Linked DNA regions of Oryzias latipes. The protein of the gene in region 2 purifies or fractionates together with the protein of the main gene of each other region. This does not show direct contact. Links are inferred from orthologs where the notes say so. Each region holds a gene or a part of one and is shown on either strand. Other genes may lie near its edges.

Region 1 (3,753 bases), on a different chromosome or scaffold from region 2:
CTTTTCTCAATTATGCATTTCTGTTATTTAGAAACTACTGATCTGTGCGGTGCAAATCTGTTTGTTTTTTTATCAATAACCCTATCTTCCTCTGAGCTTCAGTGCAAAACTCCTGATACATTCTTAATAAGTAGCTTGTAACAAATTGCTCAAAAAAATTACAGGAACATGTTCAGTTTTTAGTGAAGGGTGTTTTTCCAAATCAATATTTTTTTTAAACAGCTAGTTACAGAAATTAATTATTAATCCCTAGCTTTCCAATGACTATTTTGAAATGCTTCTAAAAGCATCCATTTTTTTACAGCAACAGGAACAAAATACCAAACCATTTTCATCCACATCCCTACTGAAGGACATTTACTTACCACATGCGGATATTTTGCTATTTTTGAAACCAGCTTTGCTCTCGTTATGTAGTACCTAGAAAATGAGAATAAAAGAACATATTCAATCAAAACATGACCAAAAAAACCAAAACAACTAAGCACTGATGCTACAAAGTTCGTATTTTGCTCTCTAAAGTGTTTGATTTACCTCGATATTTGGTCGAGGTAAGAGGCTGCCTCTCCTTCAACTGTTCGGAGTTCGGCTACTGTCTCCTCCTGAATTGAGACTCCAAAGTTGTTGCCATCCTCTATCCTTGGGATGAGCAGCTGAACCCACATTTTGACCTGAAGATTGAATTTAGAGGAAAAGACAAAAACAAAAAATGTGGGTTGCCAACATTTTTTCACCCAGTTTTTTATCATAAGACTTCAGATCAGGGCCAATGCAGAGGTGCCTGTAGACATTTAAGCGTTAAGACATTAATACATGCAAAGGCAACTTACTGTGTTACATTTCTCTATGAGCGTCCTGATCTCCGGCTTGACCTTTTCTATGAGATCAACAAGATTCCCATTGCTCTTCATCATTCCACCAGGCATGACAAAGACTTTGGTTCCGGTCACTTGGAAATAAAAGAAAGTTAAGTTAGTTACCAGGCACACAGTCCACTCTGACATGAGTTTGAAAATGAAAACAGTCCTTACTTTTGTCCTCTCCACTCCCATCCTCAAGCTTCCTCTTTTTGGCGTTTTGCTGTGGAAAAGATTCCCCAAAATTAGAAGTTTTTCTACACAAATTAGTTAAAAGGAAGTGCTGTAAAAATCCACAACTCACTGCCTCCAGTCCGTCGTGAAGGTTTGGGATTAGGATGGGGTCGGGTACTGTCAGGTTAATCTCTGAGTGTATGTCTTTCAGCTCAACAATGTTTATGCTTGGATCCTGGGGGGGGGAACCAAATTTGTTCTTTTTTTGTAATCAGATTACACTTTTTTTTTTTTTTACTGTGCCAACAGTAGTTAGAGTCAAAACTGTAGTTAAAGAAAGTTTCATACTGAACAACTAAGATTACAAAGGATAAAACATACCTTAAGAAAAGAATCAAGTTCCAGTAATTTCTTTGGAAAGAAATTTGCAACTAGATCCTCTGCCTAAGAGAGAAGCAAATAGAAAAAAACTTTAATACTAATACTGTTCTTTAAAAAAGGGGGTTTAAATAAAAAAAAAATAGAAAAAAAAGTATTCCAAATGCAAATCTCACTTCTGCTGTGATCCGTTCCCTGAATGCATCAACCTGTAAAATAATAAATATTTAGACAAAAGTTCAGCATCAGTACATCCCACGAACATGTGTTTCTCAGTGAGAATTTATTTTCTACTATAAGGTTAGTTGAAAAAATAAAACACAGCCATAATCGATTTTCATTCTTCAAAGTTTAATTATGTTATGGATAAAATTTACAGTAAAATAACGATAGATTATTTTACTATTATTATTTTTAAGATTAAAGAATGCAAGTAAGATCAACTTTTGATTAACTACATACTTTTATATGATCAAAGCAGTTTTAAGAAGAAAAAAGAATCAATATTTCAGTAAAATAAAACAGATTTAACATAATCTAAAAAGCACATGTTTCTTTAATCTTGCTATCATAGATAGAAACGTACATATAAAAGCTACAGAAATAAACCATAAATATTACTTATAAAAGGTTTATATTCATGTGCACCAACACAGACTAAACCTTTTTTTTAAACCTAAACTTATTGTAGTTATTTCTTTAGGGAACTATTATATTATTAGAGTCTCTAAATGAATAAGTCTCTCCGTAGTTCGCATTTTTTTCATTTGCTTAAATTTGATAAACGACACGCTCTTTAAAGTTAGTTTAAATACTGATCAGGGCAACAAGGAGTCGATATAAAGTTGTAGCATGATGACGCCGGTGGGTCGGTTGTAGCTTAGCCACAGTGGAGGCTAAGGCCTTCCTGACATGTGGTCTTCTGTCTCAAACTATCAATTAAACATAACAAGCACGCAATAAGACGTTTAATTCCACCCATTTGAAGCATTTTACCAGTCTGTCGCAGCACCTGTGATAAGTTTTGACAGATAAATTGCAGCAGGCGGGAAACATACCGGTTAGACATTGCTAGCTAGCGCTAAAGCTAACCAAAGACTCCACAACATGCCGCAAAATGCTAGCAGGCTAATTCCCACAATAACACGCGCAGGGGCCGTTCAGACAAACATCACCTTGGTTTTAATTTCACTGTCCACTTTGAGGAGTGAAGACATCTTCTGGGATCAAATGTAGATAGGACGTTTATCCCAGCAACAATAAAGTCTCCTGTAAACGTGTGGCTTCTTGCTGTCAGCCACACTTGTGTAGCTTAAAGATGACGTAATTACGCGACAGTTGCACTTTTTCCGCCAAAATCTTTATTGATAAACCGTTTTTACAAATGTAAATCTTCAAAGTTTTGGAATCCATCTTTTTATTTTTACTTCAGGATTATCATTATTGTTGATGTTGTTGTTATTATTATTATATAAAAATATTTAGAAAAGTCTTAGCAACAATAACGGGAATTGTGCCTTTTATGCGCACAAATATGTATTGTATATAATATTACCAAACATTGCGTACAACAGTATAATCAAATTGTTGAAAACAAGTATTGGCAATTTCATTTTACTTTGGAGATGCAACCAGAATTTGAGAAAAACGTCAATATGTTAAAATATAGAGAAATTTTTAAAAATAAAAAAATACCAACTTGTTAAGAATATCCTCTATAATAAAATGATATTGATAATCTTTAATAACTAATGTTCTATTTTCCCTGTAATTCTGTTATCTCTTCATACCTAACAAATACATTGGCCTGTGTCTAGGTGAAAAAAGTTCATTAATGTGGTGGTGGAAGATTTGTTAATTTTCCAGTACCTAGCTGCAGAAAAATAAATAGCAGACGGAATTCCACTCCGGAAGCAAAAATCGGTGGCTGTGTCCAGATCCACCCTTATCCCTGACTACTAAAAAACGATATAGTGCACGACTAAGTAGAGCCCTGGATTTTAAAAGCAATTCGGACACCATACTCACTCTTTTTTTAAACGGCGTATATGATGTAATCGATTTCACAATGTGAAAATCTCATTGATATGAGCATTTTGCGACAACCATTTATAAATCCACTGTGTTCTGAAGATGAAAACGTTAAAATTTATTTTATAACATACATTTAAATACATCTGCTTTTCAGAAGTTGTTCAAACGCAATGCATTGTGACCTTTTGCAGTCACTAGCTGTTCCAAAGTCAGAACTCCAGACCCTGAAGTCCAGGGGCGGGCAGGTCATCACAAATGTCTAACCCCGCCCCAAAGATCAAAGGCTCCTTCAAGAGCCAAAACAGAGAGG
Region 2 (3,518 bases):
GCCGTGAAGAAGAAACGGATGAAAGTCGGTCAGTTTATCCAGCTTAAGAAAGTTAATTCTCTATCTGCTGGAAAAAGTTGAGCATTTTCTGTTGTAAAGAACAGAAATGTCAGACTTCCAGGTCTGACGTTTTCCAGCTGACCTCATAAATGCAGCGCGGTCACGCGGCTCTTCATTATTCCTCATACATGGGAATGTCACGAGAGGAGCTTTTTTGTTGTTGTTTTTTTTAAGTTTGTCTCATGAATTCACCTTTTCACGAGTCCTGACTTGTTTTGCCGTGCAGAGCTGGGTTGGAGTCACCCCTGTGACGTGTGGAGCATCGGCTGCATCCTCTTCGAGTACTACTTAGGCTTCACTCTGTTTCAGGTACGTAACCTGTAGGTCATTGCTCGTGCCGCCGAGGACGTAACTGTGATTATCCTAAACAGAAATATGGAGAAAGTGTGTATTCTGTCACATTAAAACTTCTCATGTTTGAATCCCTTTAATCTGGGATGTCCTGATCCAGTTAGTGATCAGAAAGCGGGTCTGATTGGGTAGTTTGAGACTTAGGATCAAAAAGTCATGAACTGATCCGTGTTTTAAAACATTTCCGTTTTACTGCAAGTTTAATGTAAATAAGAGTTAACGTAACTTCAATTACACTCCAAATGACCCTCGTCTACATAGGAGGCGAACATCTAACATAAAAGAGCTTCATCTGATTGGTCAATGATGTAAAGGAGTCCATCTGATTGGTCAATGCATAAAGGGATTTACTTCAGACTTCCATAGATTGTTTTAGCACATTTAAGGTTACTAGTTATAGAAATTTTCGGCATCTTTTGCGATATACGTATTGCACAGCTCGATATCGCCATAACGATAAATTTGCGATTAATTGTGCGGGCCTACTGCTGTGTATTTGTAAAATACTAGAGGTCTGGAATTATTTGAATTCCTGGATTTCTGTCCTATTTACAAGTTCAACAAACAAGGACTGCTTGGAAAAATGAAATACACATTTTCAGACATTTAACTTGATGGACCTTGTCAGTTATTTTATTAAATTAGATAACGTTCTTTATCCCACGATGGGGAAATTCTAATTCCAAATGGGGAAATTTGCCGTTCCACATTACTCAAACTGTCAATGCTGATGACCTTTTTGGGGTCACGGCATTGCTATGTGGCTGTGGTTGGCAAACACACCGGTGCATTCAGACACTGCTGAATATTAAAATGAAGAGAAAACCCGAATCTGTGTATTCAATGTATTCATTTTTTTTTTACATGTTACAAAAGTATCGGATCTGGACTCGGTACCGGCACATACCAAAAATCAGATGACTGAAATCCTAAAAATCTGATGGGGAGATCACTAGTTTTTATGACAGACTGTTAGGCTTACTTAACCTTAACCAGGGACCAAATCCAAGTCCCCGATCGGTCCAAGTTCAACTGATTTAACTTTGAATGCGCGTTCAATGGCCGCACGTGTTTACGCAGATATAAAAACTCCCCAACAGACGCCTGACGTGCGCTTTTACGCATCGCAGGACAGGAAGCAGAATGTTTGTTGTTTTCGAGACTTCTCTTTAAGTCCCGACCTGTCGTCTTTATGTTTCAGACTCACGATAACCGCGAGCATTTGGCCATGATGGAAAGAATTCTGGGCCCGGTTCCCTCCAGGATGATCCGCAAGACTCGGTAGGAGAACCAAAGAAGACGTGGCGGCCACAAACGAAGCAAATCCACTCAGATGACGATTTCCATTTTCTGACCTGTGCTGTTTAGGAAGCAGAAGTATTTCTACCGCGGTCGCCTGGATTGGGATGAGAGCTCCTCTGCAGGAAAATATGTCCGAGAAAACTGCAAACCCTTACGGGTGAGTGAAGTAAGAACAGTTCACTATGAAGACTAAGCGTTTTATTCTGATCCCGGTTGAATTCCAAGCGGCCGTGCTGATCTGTGGGGTTTTTCCATAGCGTTATCTGCTGTCGGAGGCGGAGGAGCACCACCAGCTGTTCGACCTGATAGAAAGCATGTTGGAGTACGAGCCGGCCAGGAGGCTGACGCTGGCCGACTCCCTCAAACACCCCTTCTTCGAGAACGGGGGCGCCAGCGATGCTGCCGGCAGCAAGAACTGGGATAGCAACCGGGACATCAGCCGGTGACCCTCCGGCCTGCAGAGACTCGACCGAGGAGATGGAGTCCTTCCCACGTAAAAGCGGAGCCTCAAAAGAAGTCGGTGTTGGCGGCGTGGACGTTCTCCATCTGCTCCCTTTGCTTCTGCGGCCAAACTCTGCCCCCAAACTCTGAAATCAACACCGGTAATATCCGACTCGTTGGCTGAAGCCGGCCTCCGTGCAGCTCCCGTCTTCCTTTGGACCTTCCAGAACCTTCGTCCTCGCCGCGTGAGAGCTCCCATCAGCGCGAAGAAGAAACGTCTTCCATTTCTGACGTCTGAGGAAGATCCATCGTTCACAAAACATGAACGTTTTTAAAAGGACGACACCCCCCCCACCTTGCTCACTTGGTCCCGTGTGCCGGTGAGCTGATTGGCTCTCTGCCCGCAGGAGCCCGCCGTGCTGATGGATATTTGTTAAACTGTTTTTTTTGTTTTGTTTCCTAAATGTGTGTATCTGCGCATGGAGAGGTGAGGGGCTGCGTTCTGGTGGTCTGTTCTTCTTCTCACATCATTTAACCTCTTCCTCGTTTCGGTGACCCCACAGCTCCCCCTGCTGGTATTTATTATTATTTTTCCTTCTCGTTTAGGTCACGGTGCCCTGTTCTCATTCTGTACATTATTTTTGTTGGGTTTTTTTTGTATGAGATTCTGAGCGTATAGAATTGTATATATGTACCATTGTGTAGAATTAAAGTCTTGCCTAAAGGCCGCCGGAGCTGCTGGTGGCGCTTTGGGTCTTTGCTCCTGAAAACGCAGAATTCTCTATCCGTTTTCCAGACAACTGAAGAAAACATTTCAGTAAATTCACCGGAATCATACATCACTAAAGATACATTTGACATTTATGTCCAGCAGCCGTCCTCAACAGAGGGACCAGATTTTTTTTCCCCCCACAATTTTTCTTTCTTTCTGCGCCTTTTAGCTGAAATTTCCACGTTTTTTACATTTTCTTGAAATTTCCACCTGGAAACACTAGTACCCAGTTAAAAATTAATTTTGGACCATCTGGATCCAAAAAAAAAAACGAAGAAAAAATATGACATCATAGCGGGAGAAACCATTAATGAGTGGGACCCAAATCACTTATGGGGTTAAAAAACATTTCAAAGTTTACTAAAGCAACAAAAGCGTGGGATATTCAAAAAAAAGTGTTGAAATTATTATGGGATGGTCGCAGGACATATGGCTTGGTGGCCATATTGTGTTTTTTTTTTGTTTTTTTTTATACATTTTTGCACAATATGGGAAAAGGGAACTTGTTCAAGCGGTCTGCATTAAATTTCTTACAACGCCACAGGGATAAGTCTAGAAACGAGGTATGGTGACCTCTGACCTCTGGAAGAGG

Evidence for each region. The genes of interacting proteins can lie anywhere in the genome.
Region 1: the proteins of dual specificity protein kinase CLK2 (region 2) and psme3 purify together in Homo sapiens (affinity purification with mass spectrometry; 3 studies listed by BioGRID and IntAct, with this or other methods). This does not show direct contact. The link is inferred for Oryzias latipes from reciprocal best matches to the Homo sapiens genes CLK2 and PSME3.

The regions. Positions count from the first base shown.
Region 1 is NC_019877.2:17,757,830-17,761,582, forward strand, and holds the start of psme3 (proteasome activator complex subunit 3), read right to left. Parts: upstream 2,746-3,753; 5' UTR 2,627-2,745; coding exon 2,585-2,626; intron 1,619-2,584; coding exon 1,586-1,618; intron 1,476-1,585; coding exon 1,413-1,475; intron 1,267-1,412; coding exon 1,162-1,266; intron 1,081-1,161; coding exon 1,032-1,080; intron 950-1,031; coding exon 831-949; intron 672-830; coding exon 535-671; intron 421-534; coding exon 366-420; intron 1-365. UniProt on the Homo sapiens protein: Subunit of the 11S REG-gamma (also called PA28-gamma) proteasome regulator, a doughnut-shaped homoheptamer which associates with the proteasome. 11S REG-gamma activates the trypsin-like catalytic subunit of the proteasome but inhibits the chymotrypsin-like and postglutamyl-preferring (PGPH) subunits.
Region 2 is NC_019869.2:6,668,090-6,671,607, reverse strand, and holds the end of dual specificity protein kinase CLK2, read left to right. Parts: intron 1-286; coding exon 287-369; intron 370-1,612; coding exon 1,613-1,692; intron 1,693-1,779; coding exon 1,780-1,879; intron 1,880-1,970; coding exon 1,971-2,159; 3' UTR 2,160-2,924; downstream 2,925-3,518. UniProt on the Homo sapiens protein: Dual specificity kinase acting on both serine/threonine and tyrosine-containing substrates. Phosphorylates serine- and arginine-rich (SR) proteins of the spliceosomal complex.